2 linked regions of the Arabidopsis thaliana genome follow. The protein of the gene in region 1 interacts with the protein of each later gene in a pairwise test. Each region holds a gene or a part of one and is shown on either strand. Other genes may lie near its edges. The genes, in order: AT3G50650 and AT5G45580.

The links.
Region 2: the proteins of AT3G50650 (region 1) and AT5G45580 interact in binary tests that used the Arabidopsis thaliana proteins (3 or more experiments, as listed by UniProt).

Annotation. Positions count from the first base shown.
Region 1 is NC_003074.8:18,803,523-18,812,804, forward strand, and holds AT3G50650 (GRAS family transcription factor), read right to left. Parts: upstream 4,722-9,282; 5' UTR 4,579-4,721; coding exon 2,950-4,578; 3' UTR 2,617-2,949; downstream 1-2,616. Other genes in the region: AT3G50640 (uncharacterized protein), read right to left, coding at 505-548, 661-1,117. UniProt on the Arabidopsis thaliana protein: Probable transcription factor involved in plant development. Involved in environmental abiotic stress resistance. May increase the expression of stress-responsive genes. Binds DNA in vitro.
Region 2 is NC_003076.8:18,478,065-18,487,544, reverse strand, and holds AT5G45580 (Homeodomain-like superfamily protein), read left to right. Parts: upstream 1-4,536; 5' UTR 4,537-4,898; coding exon 4,899-5,040; intron 5,041-5,353; coding exon 5,354-5,430; exon of another isoform or gene 5,431-5,469; coding exon of another isoform or gene 5,470-5,523; coding exon 5,524-5,590; intron 5,591-5,739; coding exon 5,740-5,815; intron 5,816-5,899; coding exon 5,900-5,978; intron 5,979-6,051; coding exon 6,052-6,453; 3' UTR 6,454-6,736; downstream 6,737-9,480. Other genes in the region: AT5G45590 (Ribosomal protein L35), read left to right, coding at 1,318-1,548, 2,165-2,280, 2,385-2,469, 2,813-2,902.

The sequences.
Region 1 (9,282 bases):
ACTTTGTAAAGCCAAACCTTTTCATTTTTAATGATATTAACATTCATAACAAAAAAAACAAGTGTTCTTCAACTTCATTTTCAACGAATGAGAGGAATAAATACTTCAGAACAAGTCCTCACGCACATACTATTTTGATTATGCTAAATACACTAAACCATCAAATTAAAGTGGGAAAAGAAGTTTAATTGGTCGATATGAATATATGATAATAAGTGGTACGTGAGACAAGTGCATGCAGACAACTTATAACTAAAAGTGAATAAAAAGAAAAAGTATTACACACAAATCTTCACTGGCATTAAAAAATAGAGATGTTCCACAAAATGATTGATTCCACAAACAAAACAAAAACTTACAAGAACAACAAAACACGTGAGCGAGAAGAGTTGTTGTAACTTGGAACCATCTTTGTCCAAAGACCTTTTAGATACAGTCAATCTAGATTATCATAAATAATCTAAATTAATTTCTAGAAACCAAAGTGGGAGCTCTAAACTTTCTTCATCTTGTATCTGCAACTTGACACTCCCTCGTTGCAACATTTCCTGATCAGTCCAAAAGATTTTCACTAGCTCATATTAGTATTGGTTTGGGAATCTCCGGTTATCCAAAGAAGAATAAAAATTTCAAAACAGAGGATTGTTTTTGTTTGTATACCTGAGATTATTTTGTGATCTTGACTTAACACTTCCTCATTGACTTTATCAGTCTTCTTAGATCTAACATGGGTCCTCTTAAGTCCCAAAAGCTCCCTCCACGTGCCCTTTGTGGAAAAGGATGAAGAAGACAACAATATTGGCCTGAGGGAGAAAGTGTTACCATCGACCATAGAACCCTCCTCTTCAGTAAGAAGCTCTTCTCCTAAGGTCCTATGGACGTGACTGGTCTCCTTAAAAGGTAAAATCTTTCCTTTGAGGAAGATTTCATCGGCGGGAATCATCGAGTAATCGGTGACTGAGAAAGCGAAATCAGCTGAGGGCATGGAGAAAGAGCTTCTCGAGTTGATGTTGTTGCTCTTAGCATTACTCTTCTCCGATCTGATCTCGACAAACTCGTTAGAAAAAGAGATTCTAGCAGCACCATTCATGGAGTTGTGCATTTCTAAGCGTGCCATTTATGTTTTTACTCAATGGCATATAGAATGAGAGATCTAAGCCATTGAGTTATATATAGGATAAGAAGTTGGAATGAGATTATTAATGTCCAACTCATAGATCCATCAAGCTTGATCTATATGACTATATTCTATATACGAATATTTGACCGAGAGATTCTAGCAAAAAGTGTTTTATAATAGAACCAAAAAAAATAATGTTGTAGATTATCATTCATTGGCAAAATGTTGTTGATCTTCGTATCTTGAAGGAGTTAAAGATCACATGGAGGCACGTGAGAAACTATCCATTTGTCCTCTGTTATTTCTTGTTCTATTGCTTACCATCAAACATACTACTAACTCAGTGATATGTCGACAAATATGGGCATAAAATGTTGTATTAATATCTATTTACATATGAGGTAACGTGCAGTCAAAGGACCAAGGTTGTCAATCATGTGCTTGGAAGTTCCATTGAACATTGTTTATCCCACACGTCGTCGTGATGCGACTCCGCTCATGAATGATTGGTCAAAAAAACAGTTTCATCTCATTATAGGAAAATATCAACGCATCATTGCTTGAACCTTTTTTCTTAGAGAAACCGGTAAACATTATTTCATGGCTTGCAATTTCATCGTCTAAGTTGAATTTCATATCATACATAGTCTGCTCGATATCCAAAGGTGTTAGTTTCCACCAATACTTTAGTTATTTGTAAATGAAACGATTTACTTTTAATTTTATGATGTATGTGAAGTTTAGAAGTTTCTAACTCAAAATCAATTAGTTATAAATGGATTGATCTATATATTACTTTATAGTCTATATCATTTTCGATTTCTAATTCAAAAGCACTTAAAATGAGTGGATTAGATCATTTTTTTTTTAATTTTTATTTCAGGTATCATCACACTTATAGATGTTGGATTCCTAACCATGATTTTCTAAAAAATGAAAAATCAAGCTGGCAAATTGTAAGCAATTAGCTGTGAAGAGTCAAGACTTGGTTGGGTTATTTGCAAAATACTTCTATGTATTGTTTTTGTTTGTGGCTAATATAAATAAAGGAATGGGACAGAGATTAGGCCTGTTTATTTTGGGCCAAGCATAAACAGAGTGGGCTTTTATCTTCGTTAGGGAAGTAAAATTTACTATCAGACTCACAGACAGAGTCAGAGTAGTGGCTGAGAGATATAGGAAATGGGGACCAAAAGACCACTGAAGAAGAAATTCGAGAGTTGACGTCATAGTGGCACGTTTGAAGTTCGAACAAAGAGAAACAAGACTGACACAGAAAGATTGAAATACTTGTCAGTGCGCCTTCGTATTTTTGGCTTTTACTTCACTGACAAATAATTATGCTCCTATTTTATTATTCAGTGAATGGTACAGAAAACATTGGTATATAATTTTCATGAAGTAAACAAAACTATATTAGGCAAGAAAAAGTGGAGACAAAATGATGAAAAGGGAGAAGAAATGGTGTGTTAGTGAAAGATCTTAGTGCAATTCAAATTTCAGTCTCTTTTATGGGACCATAATACTCTCATTTCAAAATCAAACTTCATCACCTCCTTTCCTCAATTTCAGGGGTTAATTCTAGTGTTTTTTTCATTCACATGAATTTGGTTTAGCTTCTTTCGTTTATACCAAAGAAATCTAGTCAAATGTTACATACAATATATATTACAAATGAACATAAACGACAAACCATCATCACTCCAAGCACTAGATAAAAAAGAGTAAGAGAATAGGCTAGAGACTAATTAAACATCCAAATCTAACCCCAAACAATTCAATTCTAAAAGCTAACTCAAAATACTAGATTAACTTATCGGACCAAGTAGTCAACGCCAAGAGGAAACGGTGAGGAGAGGCACATTGTTCCAAGCCAAGGAGATGAAACCTGGCTCCGATTCAACAAGTGAATACAATGTACTATAATTGTAGTTCCATAGTAGCAGCTTCGCTTGGCTAACCGCGTAATTACTCGGTTTAACCGGCTCAAATCCAGCTTTCTCCATCAACACTCTCCATTGTTCTTTCTCCTCCATTAACCCAAACCGGGTTCCCGGTTTATTATTATCATCATCTGATCGGACCAAATCCATAATCCTCCTACCGAACAACACTCTCTCCACTCTCAGCCTTTCTTTCGAATCTCGATCCAAATTCGGTTCAAGCGATTCAAAAACCGCGGAATAAAACCGGAGAGAGTTCTTAACCCGGTTAGCAAATTCAACCCGGTTTAAACTGACTTCGTATTCTCCAAGCGTCACAATCCTCGGGTTTAACGATCTAGCTAACCGGAGCGCCGTACCAACAGTCGTCGCTGTTTCATCTAGAAGCTTATAAAGCTCAAGCATAAAATTCACAACCAAAACCTCATCCGGGTCAACCCGAAAACTTGACCCGTTTAGTAATTGAATCGGAGTCAGAACCGGATAAAACTCGAAATTGAGATCCAAAATCGCCGCGAAATCACGGAGACGGTTTCCCGTAGCGATCAGAGACGGTCCCGGTGAGTCTCCTAGAGACGGAGCGGGTATACCCGAAATCCGGATCCGGGTGGGTTTACCAGAAGAACGGGTCGCTAAAGCTTGTAACAGAGCAGACCATTGAATACCTTGAAAAATCCCGAAATCGACTATGTGAATGTTGTTTGATTGATTCGTAGCTTCGAGAATTGCTTGATTCGCTGTTAAATGAGCGAACTTTGAATATGGACATGCGTCGTTTAAGGTTTTGTATGAGAGAATGAAATCTTCTAGGGATGACGACGACGATGACGACGGAGACTCTGTTTCTTTATGAGACAGAGCTTCTGCGAAGTAATACCCGACTCGTTGTATCGGGTCGCCTGATTCGGACACGGATTCTTTGATCCGAATTAGTGTGTCCGGTTTAGTTTCCGGTTTACGTGCATAATCGTGGATAGCTTTAAAAATCGGCTGGTTTAGATCAAAATCCGGCTGCGGCGGGGGAGGAGGAGGATGTTGTGGTGATGGCGGAGATGGAGACCATATAGCGGTGGAAGCTGGTGGCGGAGGGAGTTGTTGACTCGCTGAGTCATCTTTGTTGACTCGGTTGAGATATGAAGGAGCACTGAGTCGACTCGGGAATGAGACGAATGGATCATGGCCGTAGATTGGGAAGTCTGGATTGGTTTGTGACGCATCTCCACCGTTGATCAAACTCTCCATCCACTCGTCGGAGTCAAACTCCTCGGAAGCGACGGCTGCGTTTTGATGATGCTCCAGGTGTGGAAAGTGAAAACCTGGGTCGTTGGTTACTTGAAACGGGTCGGAGAAACCCGAACCGGGAAGAGTAAACCCGAAGGATGGATTGGGCCAGGGGTTGGGTTCTTGTTCTTGTTCTTCTTGTTGTTGATGTTGTGATTGTTGTTGCTGCTTCTGTTTGATGAGTTGTTGTGCTATAGCCATTAAGTTTCCGCTGTCGGTGCACATATACGCCATTCTCCGACTCACTTTCGCCGGCGATGAAGGCGTTTTTTTGTCTGTTATTTGGTGGTGATTGAGTAAGGCCCAGAGAGAGAGAGGGATATGAATGAAACCGGAGAGATTTTAGTAGGAAGAAAAAAGTAAGAAAGTGAGTATTTTCATTTTGATTTATCATTTTCTTTTTTTTTGTCATCCGATTTATCATTTTCGAGTACTGTATTTTTAATCAATTACCACTTTAGTTTAAAAGTACAAAATTACGTTATTAACTGCAAGAAATGAAGAAACTATAAAACCAACAACAACAACAAAAAATGAAGAAACTAACTAACATAGTTTACTAAAAAACTCAGTTTTGTATTTAATTATTTTCAAGAATTTAATAATAGAAATGTAATTTATCAAAATATCAATTGAATAATTTCTATATCTCATGAATTTGTAGTTTCGTATAATCTTACAAATTTATTCAGAAACCTTTTGACCAAAAAATAAAAAATACATAGGTTTTTTTTTGTTAAATAATTATTACCACTCTGTTAATATGGGTAAAAAAAAGAGTTGACGTTATGAAAAAAAAGAGAGAGTAAAACGATATCTCACTTATGGGACCCACAGACACGATGACGTCATGTATCGGCAGTTACGTATCGAAGAGTGTGACCTCATCTCCACCGTCTAGAATCAGATCAATGGCTTTGGCTGAAATGGTGAATGTGACACGTCGACAACTGTCTTCTGCTACTTGTCACCTGCATGTCGCCTGCAACTTTTCTGTCTTTTTTCATTTTAACTAACAGTATTATAAAGGTAAAAAGATTGATGTAAGAAAAGTAAAAAGAATTAGGTTATTATCTTCTGCTTTCAAGCCGCAAAGGTCAAGGTTTTTCAAAGCTGTTTCTTATCAACTAAAAGGGTCGTTAAATTGGACTTTGGTTAACAAATTTCAGTGACTTCATTGGTTTAGTTTCAGTTACTTTTGTAAAAAAACCTTTCGACAAGTTAAGCTAACATCTTGAATATGACTTGAGCAAGCAAAAATTAAACAATAGACATGTTTTATTTGTATACGCATGTCTTTTTTATCTCAACGTTAGTGTTGTGGAGGACGGCTTGTGGGTCCGTAAGTAGGCCCATATACAATGGAGCAAAAGCGATTTGTGGCGGGCTCTACTAGTATCTGTTGTTGGTGGACGAACTTTGACGAAGAAAATGTAGTAGCCATTAGCCAAAAGCTAAAAATTACACAAAAATACCAAAAAAAAAACACAAGCAAAGAAGAAACAAGAAAAGAGTCCAAAGAGGATTATAGAATTTAAAAGTCTTTCAATAACAAACCAAGTTTTATGAATTATCATTCATACACGACGCATAGTTCGAGAATTTGCTTATTTGAGGTTTGAGTGTGGAAGCTCTTTGTGACTTTGCAATTTCTAAAAACCTAAAGCGAATGAAATAGAAAAGAGCAATAGCGAACAAAAAGCACATGGGAACGACACTTGACTCTTTGAGACATCACTCTTTTCATTTCATCGTTGTATCCGCGTCAAAAGGCCTACTTCTCCACTACTTATAACTTAAATATCTAAATTACATTACTAAACATGGTATATGGTCCCTGGCCCAAGTCTACTTTTGATTTTCACTTTTGACATTTTTTACTACAAAGTGCCATGGACTGTTCTAAATTGGTAATGATTTCAACAAGGAGAATGAAGAAGATGATATTTTTGAAAAGGACTTGTCTTTGAAAATGGCAATCCCACTTTAGTGTTTAACCATTGCACCTATCTGCAAGTGGACTTGGAGAAAATAGATAGAGAGAGAGAGAGAATGAGTGGTGTATGAAAAGGACATGAGTAAGAATGAAAGGGTTTGATTTGTCTTTTCTTTCTATCCAAGTCATCGGTGGGGTTTCTTATGTATGAACAAAGAGTGGCATTGAGTCATCCCCAAGAAAGTCTCTCTATATATTTACCATTTTTGTCACATTCTTTGCTTTTTTTTTTAAATACTAATTTTTAGTTTCAACTCTTACCAACTAAAATTTACCTATTTTTGTCTCCTCCTTAGCTTTTTACACTTATTTTCGTTTGAACCTTTAATTAACCAAAATATATTTACTATTTGAATCAGTTAAACAGAAATTATTAAGTCAGTAAGAAAAATATATATTTGGTGACGATTATCTCATACAAAACAGAAAGAGACTTTTCAAATGACAAGTGGCCTGTCCAAACACTAAACTTTTGTACCTTTTATTGACCAGCTAACTCACTTTCTCATCCAAATTTTAGTTAGTTAAAACAAAAAAATCTCAATGCTTTTCCTCGTTTTCTGAATATTATTCGGCTAACCAGAAAAGAAAAAAAATACTTGCGGGCCAAACCACGAAAATCAATAAACAAGGGCTTTTGGTTGGTAAGTCTCGATTTCATCACCGAGGGTGTTCATGTGAATAAACCTATACTTCAAAATATCGAACCATTTCGTCTTTCCAATATCTGCAAAATTAGAGACAATCAATCAAATTCAAAGCCATATTGTTGTTAACAAAAGAGCAGTATGATGAACAATTGAACATCAATATAATTTATGAATTATCTAAATCTTCTCATTTGGATGATTTCAGATCAAGTAAAAACTTTATGGGCCGTAATTATCCAACAATATGATGGGCCGACCTAATCGAGGAACACGGGGACTAGTTGGCGTAATCAGCCTCCAAATATTTGGAGGCTTCTGTTTTTGTTTTATTTAATCATATTTTATTTCACTGTAAATAAATGGATAATACAGTGTGTTAATCAACCATATGTCTATCTGCACTGTTTTTTTTTTTCTTTTTTCTTGGCATTTTAATTAATTACAATTATATAATTTTTGGTAAAGTACAATTAGATAATTTAACGTGTCACCTGATTACGTATTTAAACCCTAACTCAACCACAGATTTTTTTTTATCACTCTCTAATTGTCTCGATCAATCCGTCAAAACCATGTATTACGAGGGAGAAGATTTCAGCGGTAAGATATCATTATCTATCTTTAGGGCCGATTGGTAACGACTGTTAATTTTGGTTGTAGAGACTTTCGCTGTAGGAACTTTGACGGTAAAAACTTTGATTATAAAAATTTTGACTTTAAAAATTTTAACAGTATAGACTTTAACGGTTAAAATCTGATAGGTAACACCAAAACTGTAGAAATTGTAACTGTAAAACTTATAATTTTAAATAATATAAATTATAGCAAATATAACTCGAACTGTGATATAACAACTACATTCACACAAAAAAACTTTATGGTAAATTTTTTATACATTCATATTTCTTTGCTTTTGCATCAAATGTAATATTTGATGTTCTTTAATATACATAAGTGGATCTTAAAAGAATATAAATTAAACAGTAATTATAAACATTTATCAATGAATTCCATAGGAAATTTTGTATAAATTACGATTTTAAAATAACTACCAAATATATAGGAAAATAGATTTTAAAAGAACAAGAAAAAAATCAATTATAAATCAATTAGATTTTTTCAAAAAATAATTTATTTGTGAAATGTTATGAGAGTTTATATACATATTAGAAAGAAGAAGAAAAAAACTATAAACTTTTTATTTCTTTATTTCTAAAGTCACCTATACGTGATTTTCAAAAAATATTGAAAACAAAGAGTTTAAGAAAAAAAGACTTTAAAGGCTTTAAAATTTATGAAAACCAAAAATGTTTGATTGGGTTAAAAAAACTTTTAAAACTTCTAAAAACTTCTTAAAGTCTTAAAAGTCTAATCCAATCACCCCGTCTATCTTTCTTTTCTCCAAATTGTTTGTTAAAATTTCAAGATTCTTGCCTTCAACAATCATCGGAAAGAAAAAAAGATTATTTTCCCTCATATTTTCTACCCAATAGTACAATGACACGTATGAGTCTCTTACAAACTCTAAAAACTTTAATTTAAGGATCGTCCCTTACATTAATTATCAGTTTTGATTTATTTTTTAACTTTTTCGTAAGAATTTTATGCTTAAAGACTCCTATAGAAATATTATTGGAGGTGGTCTTAGGTTCTTAGCACGCACAATCAAAAACAAACAAATCCAAATGAGAAAGTTTATTTGTCTCTAAATTTGTTGAAAACCATGTTTCGACCCTCCAAGAAAGACCAAGGTAATTAAGGATATTGAGTTTATATTTCTCTATAGTTTCACTAATTACTATAAAATCTTAGTATTCATCCATCTCGTTTTCTATATTGCAGAAGCGAAGACGACATTGTTATGGGACATTGACGATTGCCCGAGTCCAGATGTTATCCAATTTGGTGCTATTCATGCACATTTTATGATTCTCTTCGTTTTCATGGTTCACACTCTATTATTGCTTATGGTGATGCGAAAAGGCTTTTAGATGATGCAAGACCAAACATAATTGAGTTCAATCAAGTACCTTTAGGTAAATTTTATTCCACACTCTCTTGATCGTTCTAGTACTTTGTGTCTTGAATCTTAACTCTGTTTATACGTATATACTAGCAAGTTGTCCACAATGAGTGAATTATATATATTCAGTTTTATTTTTGAATATGGAATGATATTTACATAAAATTATATATATAATTTATCTATAATTGTTAATATAACGCTCGAAAATAATTAAAAATATTAATTTTGAAGTTTATAAATTATGATGTGTTTAAAAAAGACACTTT
Region 2 (9,480 bases), on another chromosome or scaffold:
AACGGTGTCAAATTTTAACGGTGTCAAACCCAGCTGTTAACGGACACCGGAAAGAGTGCGAGTTTTTCTTTGGCTAGTTGTTCATCAGGTTATTATGACTAACACTGAGAGACAGAGAAGACACTTATGTGATACAGCTATTTGCCAAGTTTGCAAGAGTGGAGATGAAACTATTCTCCATATTCTCAGGGATTGTCCGGCGATGATGGGGATATGGAACCGTATTGTTCCACCTACTCTCCAGAGACCTTTTTACACTCAAACATTACTAGAGTGGATTTATGGAAACGTGGGAAGTCAGGTGGTTAGAGAGGGGATACCGTGGGGGACAGTGTTCAGTATGGCAATGTGATGGGCGTGAAAGTGGAGATGCGGGAACGTTTTTGGTGAGAATAGGAAGTGCCGTGATCGTACCCAGTTTGTGAAAGAGATATCAAAAGATGTGTATCAAGCACATTGTCTTGCGAATGGAGGTCAGATTAAGAGGGTTAGAGTGGAGCGTCAGATTGCTTGGTCAAGACCGGATGAAGGATGGTTCAAACTTAACACGGATGGAGCCTCAAGAGGTAACCCGGGTTTAGCCACGGCTGGTGGGGTCATTAGAGATGCGGTGGGGAACTGGGTCCAAGGTTTTGCTTTTAATATAGGGGTATGTACGGCTCCTTTAGCAGAACTTTGGGGGTTCTACTATGGGCTTTATTATGCATGGGAGAACAAGATTACTCGGTTAAAGTTGGAAGTTGATTCGAAGATGGTTGCGGGGTTTCTTAAGACGGGGATATGCGATACTCATCCCTTGTCGTTCCTAGCACGCTTGTGCTATGGCTTTTTATCAAAGGATTGGTTGGTCCAATTGTCTCATGTGTATAGGGAGGCGAATCACTTTGCGGATGGTTTGGCTAATTATGCATTTTTATGCCTTTTAGGGTTGCATTTACTAGATTCTTGTTCGGATTGTATCTCATCTTTTTTTGATGAAGACTATCGTGGGATCTCGTATTCACGGCGTATTTGTTTGTAATTTGGTTTAATTTTATAATAATATTTTGAAGGGGACTCGTTGTCCCCTTCGCCTACAAAAAAAAAACAAATTAGTTTGGTATTTTTTTGGCTTTTTTCCCAAAGACATTTTACCATTATCAAAGTAAAAGAGAATGATGACAAGAAAAAAAAAGAGTAAAAAAGAATAGAGTTATCCTAATAACCAAACACTCAAAATCATTTCCCAAAAACCCCAAAGCTTTGTCACACACACTTCTTCTCTTTTATAAAATTCGCATTTCAATCAGAAAATTGTTCTTCCCCTTGGAGACGACAATGCAGAGGTTTTGCACTAAGCTACGTTCCATTTCTCTCCAATCTAATCGGAATCTCTCTTTTTACGGTGCTTCTCCTCACCGTCTCATTCACCATTCTCCTTCTCCGAGTCGTCACTTAACAACAACAACCCTAGGTTTTGCCAATTCCACCAAATGGAGCTTCGTTCCCGCCGCCGGAGTTTTTCCGTCGAATGTTAGCTCCATGGGCACTACCTTTGTTCCTCATCACGTAAGTTTCCAGAATTTAGCTTCAATTGCTTTATATATATCTGCTGATTGAGACAAATCTTAGGAGGACAAGATCTGACGAGTGACGAGCTAGATAGTTTGAATTGGTATATAGTTTTAGCTTCTTCTGAATTTTCTATATGTTCTGTTGAAACAAAATCAACAACATGGATTACTAAATACTAATTCAAAGAATGTTAATAAGCTTACTTGCACTTTGTTTTGAATCCAACTGATACAAGTCAGTGCTTGCATATATCACTACGTTGCAAGTTTTAACCTACTAAATCTCTTTTGTTAAAAAAAAAAAAAGAGCTTACTCAATCTCATAAGATACATACATGTTTTCTTTGGAATCTTAACATTCGGATTTATTGTGTACGGTTCTTGAATTTTGTGCCCCTTGTTTGATCATAGGAAAGAAGAATCGTCATGGCTTTGATTGCGTGTTTTCCGAAAATAGAATTATTTGTTCATAGTAGCTCTTGCATTTTGATATCATGTTCGTTAAGCCAGATGATAAAGGCGGTGTGCTTGAGTATCATCACTACGAAGTACCAACATTGATTTATATCTGATTGCTTATCTTATGTACGTTTGATTCTCTCTGCCTTCAGTTTGTTCAAGTACGAAATATCACTTCTAAGGAAAAAATGGCAAAATGGAAGAAGAAGTGGAGACCTAGGACTCCAATCACATCAAAAGTCAAGAAAGTCAAGATTAAGTTTTATTCGTACGTGCTGAAACTTCTGATTCCCAGATTATCAACAAATCTTGTTAGTAATAGTTTGGGCGTCTCTCTCAACAATTTTTTTTTGTGTTGAATCTATATCTCAGGTCATTCAAAGACAGGTTTAAACCACTAAATGATGGTACCATCCGTCGCTGGAAAGAAGGCAAGCGCCACAACGCACATTTGAAGGTAACAACACCTTATTCCTCATATCGATGATAGAAAATTTTATTCATTCTTTGGCCTACGCCTCTAGAGGAACAGTATGATAATACCTAGGGATAGAACTGATCGAAAATTGCCCAACAGCTGATTCTGGTGATAGTGAACTTAAATTTGGATAGAACTAGTTTTGAACTTCGAGTCTTTAGGTGTTTCCTTGTTTAGCTAAATGGACAAATGGTAGGCAAAGTTGTATTTTACAATACCATCTCTGTTGTTGGACCTCTTCGGGGTTTCATCATTGTGTAAGATTTCTGAGTCAGGTTGAGAAATGTTGAGTGTAAAGAATTTGTTTTGTTAATTGATGCAGTCAAAGAAATCGAAGCGTAGATTGAGACAACCTGGACTAGTACCACCAGCATATGCGAAAGTCATGAAGAAACTCAATTTCTGCAATTGAGAGATAGAGCATGAAACAGTATGATTACGATGAAAGCCAGTCTCTTCCAGTTTTTACCAGATAATTTTGCTCACTGGTACTCAAAAAATCTTTATGTTTCAGTTTAACTTCATTGGAATAAATTGAGTTTTCGAAATATGGTGAAATTGGCGTTAAGACTGATCGGTTTTGAAAAGAGAAACAAGTTAGGCTTATGATTTTTTCTCAAGTACATTTTCCAGCTAAACCAGAAGAAACTTTGTTTCCCGAGTCGGTCCGGTTATATGATATTTCGGTTTAGTCAGATTGTACCGGTGTAAACCGAGCTTTGGATTGAAAAATACACCCATTCTCATGTTTGGTTAGGACAAAACGATTGCGGTCGAACGAAGCGGCCTTGGTTCCACGTGTGTATTTCTTGTGGGTCTCAATTTCAACAAACGTAAAAGACAAAAGAGTAACAAAGCCGTCCACGTGTCCTATGTTGAAATACCATTAAACCCCCACCGTCGAACATGTGAGTTTCAGATTATTGTATTTTCCTTGTCCGACGGCGAATATTCCACGCTGGCAGTCTACGTGACATGCTCGCCCCATGCACTTTGTTTTCGTCATATAAATTCCTTTTTAAAACCATTGAATTATTATTGTTATTGTTTTTAAAAAAATACAAAAAAAGGTTTTATGTCGCTCTTGTCGGAATTTGACACCGCTCATCACTCATCATGTATTGATCGTCGCCGAATACAACGATTTGTTTTTTTTTTAAAACAATTTTTAAAAGGTCACAATACAACAATGAATTTCATCAAATCTTTTATCAAAAAAAAAATGAATTTCATTTTATTTGATTATTCGGAATTGATTTATGTGTAATGTGGAATGTGTAATAACAAATTACTAATTTAGTAATTTGGTCGAAACATTTTCTATGTTTATTTTCTTCTTCTATCTCAAATTGAGACTATCCGACAACATATGAATGATAAATTTATATGATACCTAAATAAAGGAACAACATGGAGAGAGATTTTGATTCATGGATTGTATGAGAATGAGACAAAACCTTTAGTCATAAGTTATCTGATTTAAAAACACATAAATCTAACATATAAATTATTCAAATGATAAAAATGATAATTCCTAGAAACTATATATTCTTTGGACATTAATAATCTAGGTATAGTAAACAAATATCCATGATGCGGGCCATGTTCCTCTCTCCCATGTTACGATTCTGAATATACAAATACCTCTTGATTGATTACAAAAAGAAAAAAAAAAGTACGCAATCATGTATATATTTTATTCTACAACATGACATATACACGGTCTAGCATCTCATAGACACAATTAAAAACGCAAGTAATATGCGGTTGGTAATTGCGTTTGTATGCAATAAATCACTAATCAGTCATAATACAATAAAATTTTGCTATGTTTTGCTTTCATACTATTCACAAAATCGATATAAAAAACGTTAATAATTACTATTTTCTTTTTTATTATCATAATATTTCGATATGGATACAATTTGTTTTTGTATATAAACAAACTTTTAGTGTTGGATCCATAATTTGTATTATACATATATTATAATAATACTATATTAACCGAAGGTTGACGTTAAGTCACGAATAATGTCACCACTTCTCCTCCTCCATCATCATCATCACCGCGACGACTTTTTTAAGTTCCCTTTCTCTCTCTCTGAGATTTTCCTCAAAAAGTTTTCTGATCTCTTTTTCTCCATCAATCATCACACTTCTTTCTATTTATCTCGTCCTCTCGTCGCCGATTATCTCTTTACCCTAATCACTCGCATTCCCATCTTTAACAAAATTTCTTCCACTTTCTTTCCGACCAATATTTCGTAGTTCGATTGCCATTTTTCCTTTTTTTGAGTTTACGCTTCCTCTTTCCGATCACATCCTTGAGAAGAGGAAAATTTCGAAGTTATTTGATTCATTCTTCCGACTGAGTTTCCCGCCATTATTTTGTTTGATCGGAAAATTAAATGGAAAGAGTGAATCTCGGAGGTTTAGGTTACGATAATGGCGGAGTTATGATGACTAGAGATCCCAAACCTAGGCTCAGATGGACAGCCGATCTTCATGATCGCTTCGTCGACGCCGTCGCTAAGCTCGGTGGCGCTGACAGTAAGCTCCTCTTTCCTCCTCTTCTTCAATTGTGATAACCGGTTTCACTTTATAATTCCGGTTCAGTCCGGTTAAATCTACAGTTGATGTATCTGTGTAACAACATTATAGCTCTTTTACTCTTTCTTATTCTTCAATTGAGATAACCGGTTTCACATTATGATTCCGGTTCACTTCGGTTTGGTTGGTTAAGTTAATGCCAGTGATTCAATTGATTCTTCTCTATGTAGCTTGATAACTTCAAATTTAATAGGTTACAAATGTAATTATATCTGTTTGCTTAGTGACATTTGTTATTGGTTTGGTTTTGTAGAAGCAACTCCTAAATCGGTTCTGAAGCTGATGGGATTAAAAGGTTTAACACTGTACCATCTCAAGAGCCATTTACAGGTCCAAATTTATACAAATTTGAGTATATAATAATGTATAATGTCTACAAATTGTTGGTTTATATTCTCTCTTATGATGTGTTTCTATATGCAGAAGTATAGACTTGGTCAACAACAAGGCAAAAAACAAAATAGAACAGAACAAAACAAAGAAAATGCTGGTATGTATGATTATTATCAAGAATTCAAGATTTATATATAATTCAGCTTATAGTAGAGTATAATATATATATACATATGATGTATTTAAGGAATATTAATGTAGATAACATTTGAGAAACCAAAGATTGATTGATTTTTGTATTCACAGGAAGTTCATATGTGCATTTCGACAATTGTTCTCAAGGAGGAATCTCCAATGATTCAAGATTTGATAACCATCAAAGGTATATTATATATGAATTTGCCTTCTCTCGACATAATGGATTTGTAAAGCTTGAGTTTGACATAATGTTAATGAACACACGTAGACAAAGCGGGAATGTACCTTTTGCTGAGGCAATGAGACATCAGGTCGATGCGCAACAACGGTTTCAAGAACAACTCGAGGTAACAAATCTCTTCTTTCTTCTCTCACAACAATGAATAAAAGTTTTAAACCGAAGTTTTTGCGGTGTTATAGGTGCAGAAAAAACTGCAGATGAGAATGGAGGCACAAGGAAAATATTTGTTGACATTACTAGAGAAAGCACAGAAGAGCTTACCTTGTGGTAATGCAGGGGAAACAGACAAGGGTCAATTCTCGGATTTCAATCTCGCACTTTCGGGACTTGTAGGAAGTGATCGTAAGAACGAGAAGGCGGGTTTGGTTACTGATATCTCACACCTTAATGGTGGTGATTCCTCTCAAGAGTTTCGGTTATGTGGAGAACAAGAGAAAATAGAAACCGGAGATGCATGTGTTAAACCAGAATCCGGGTTTGTGCATTTTGATTTGAACTCCAAAAGTGGGTATGATCTCTTGAATTGTGGGAAATATGGGATTGAAGTGAAGCCAAATGTGATTGGAGATAGACTTCAATAGGTTAAAGAGACACTTTCTTTAATTTTTTATTTTATTTTATTATTTCTTTACATTTCTTATAGAATGTTACAAATTTGGCTTCATGGTTTCTCAGTCAAATATCAAGAACATATTTGAAGTCCAAAGTAGTTGATATCAGCTAAATACGGAATAATTGGGTTTAACTAAATAAGTTATTTTTGTGAATAATAAAGTGTAGCATCTTCTCTCGCTTGTTCTGCAAAATTCAAAACCTATTTGCTTGTTTCTTAATTCTTTTCAAAAATATGTCTATGCATCTAATTGTCTCTTTCTAAAAAATGAGGATCAAACAAAGATGAGATTTGATTCTCATGATTGATTTTCTCAGTTAAAAATAAGGGAAATTTAATAGAGTAACCCATATTTTATACATAAAGACCCAAAAGGAATGCTAAAAATATGAGTTATTTGAGTAATAATTATACCTAAATTATCCTTGTTTTCCTTTGCAGAGAAAAACAATATTACAGAAATGCCATTACTATTTAATTCCAGCAAGGCAATAAAACCACATTTATTTACGAAAATGCCATCGTCGTTTTTGATAAATCTGTGGCTCTTGTTGCGACGGATTTGTTATCGATCACAGATTTGTTGGTCAACCACAGATTTTTTACAACAGACTTGTTTTGTACCCCAGACTTTCCTGTGTTATGTTACGCCAGATTTTTTTTTTTTCGCAGATTTTTTAACCGTGACTAATTTGTTTCATATAGTCTCCACAGATTTTATTTAAATTTCAAAAGTAAGAATGTTGAAACCAAATCTGTCACTGATTTGTTTTTCGGACCACAGATTTTTCTTTATGGCGGCAACAGATTTTCTATTTGCACCCAAAAATCTGTTGTGTTATAACAGATTTGTTAACCTCGAAAAATGTTATATAGGCATGACAGAGTTGTTTTGTGTAATCACAGATTTAATTAACTTGTTAACAAATCTGGTGTTTTACAACAGATTTTTGTTAAAAAATAAAATTACTACACAGTCACATAGTGATAACAGATTTGTTTTTAGTGATGACAGTTTTTTTTTTCAGTGTCAAAACATAACAGATTTACTCATGTCAATGTTATGGCCGATTTGTTTATGACTAGAATAACCTTTTTAGTAATAACAGACTTTTTTTGGCAGATTTATTTTTAAAATTTCGAAATTTTTTGTTATATGAGATTTATTAGCTAGCCCTCAATTAAATTATTTCCGGTTTGATTGTATGTTAAATCCGGTTTGACTTGATTTTTTTTTTTTTTTTTTGAAAACGTTATGACAGACTTTTATTAGGCGACAGATTTTTCCGAAATATTACCATATTTGAGTCAAGGAATATTCTCGTAACGCCTAGGGTTTCCAATGAAAAAAACTGCCATTGTCGTTTTCTTTTTTCTTCTGTAACGCCTACCAAATCTAATTTCAATACAATCCATTATTCTTCTACCTATTCGAGATCTTAGTTGCTTCATCTTTGACACAAATTCGATTCCCTTGTTTATCGATTCTCTCTTTGGTATGGATCAAGTAATTCTCGTGTGTGGTAAATGGGTATATGAGAAAACGAGATGGATTTTTGTGGTTGATAGTACAAAAGGTTGTCGTGTACTTGAAGGTAATAGTCAAACCAGTTATGATGATTTCATCCAAATGGTGTATGAGGATTACAATATCGAGAAGAGTGTATTTGAAGTTATTTTGAGTTACAAGATCCCGAAATCAAAGCAATTACCAGCAGATACTCCACCTGTACTCATTGGTAATAATAGACAGTTTCAGTCTTATTTGGGGCAAACGAAGAATGATACTGTTCGACTTTGTGTTGAATTAAAAGAGAAAGTTCTAGATGAATATGAAGAGGAAATCATTGATGATTTAGGTAGCAGCGACTTGCCGAAGACAAAAGCAGTTGATGTATACGGTATTGTCGAAGAAAACGTTGAAAACGTTGACGTATTCACTCATACTGATAGCGTTGTTGAAAGAAAAAAATCTGAAGCAGTTGAAGATGGTGAAGATGACGGGAGTAGATTTGATTACTGTGATGATTCCGACGGAACAGATTCTGATGATGAGAACTTTAGCCTCTATGGGATTCCACCAGAAGAAGAAGATAAAACGAACGTATCAAGCAAGAAGATGAGTTTAAGTGTATACGTAGAAGAAGATAAAGGAGATGCTACATACGAGACCTTAGAACTATCGTCATTGGGATTGGCCGTTGGTCAATGTTTTGAAACGAAAGATCACTTGGAGACACGTTTGAAGATACTTACTGTGTTAGAGAAATTTGATTTTGATGTTTCGAAATCGACTCCTACATTATATTTTGTAAAGTGTTGGATTAAGGGATGTCGATGGAGAGTGCGAGCAACACCAGTTGACGAGTATCCAAAGTTTCAGGTGAGAGTGTATGTTTCGGAACATACATGTTCTGTTACTAAACGCTCATCACGTTCTCGACAAGCTACTCACGAAATACTTGGATTGCTCTATAAGAATTACGTTGGTGGAATTGGACCTAAGGTTCTCCCAATGCACGTTGCCGAAGCATTGACTAAACGATTTCAAATCAAGGTACGATTTCCAATTTCTTGGCTTTCTTTGTTTATTAATTACACCTTGTTTTCAACCAACTAATCACTAAAGTCAATACATTTTATTAGATGGATTACTGGAAGGCTTATCGGACACTAAGATCTGCCCGAGAGATGGTTAGGTATACACCAGAAAGTGGTTACGAGCAACTTCCGGTATACTTGTACATGCTAGGGAGGGAAAATCCTGGAACCTTCACGCGACTTGAAGTGGATGAAACACAGCGATTTAAGTACTTGTTTCTTGCGTTTGGTGCAAGTATTTTAGGATTCCCTTTCATGAGGAAAGTGGTGGTTGTTGACGGTACTTTTTTACAGGGAAAATACTTAGGGACACTTCTTACAGCAACAACTCAAGATGGTAACTTTCAGATATACCCGATTGCTTTTGCCGTTGTTGATACTGAAAATGATGCCT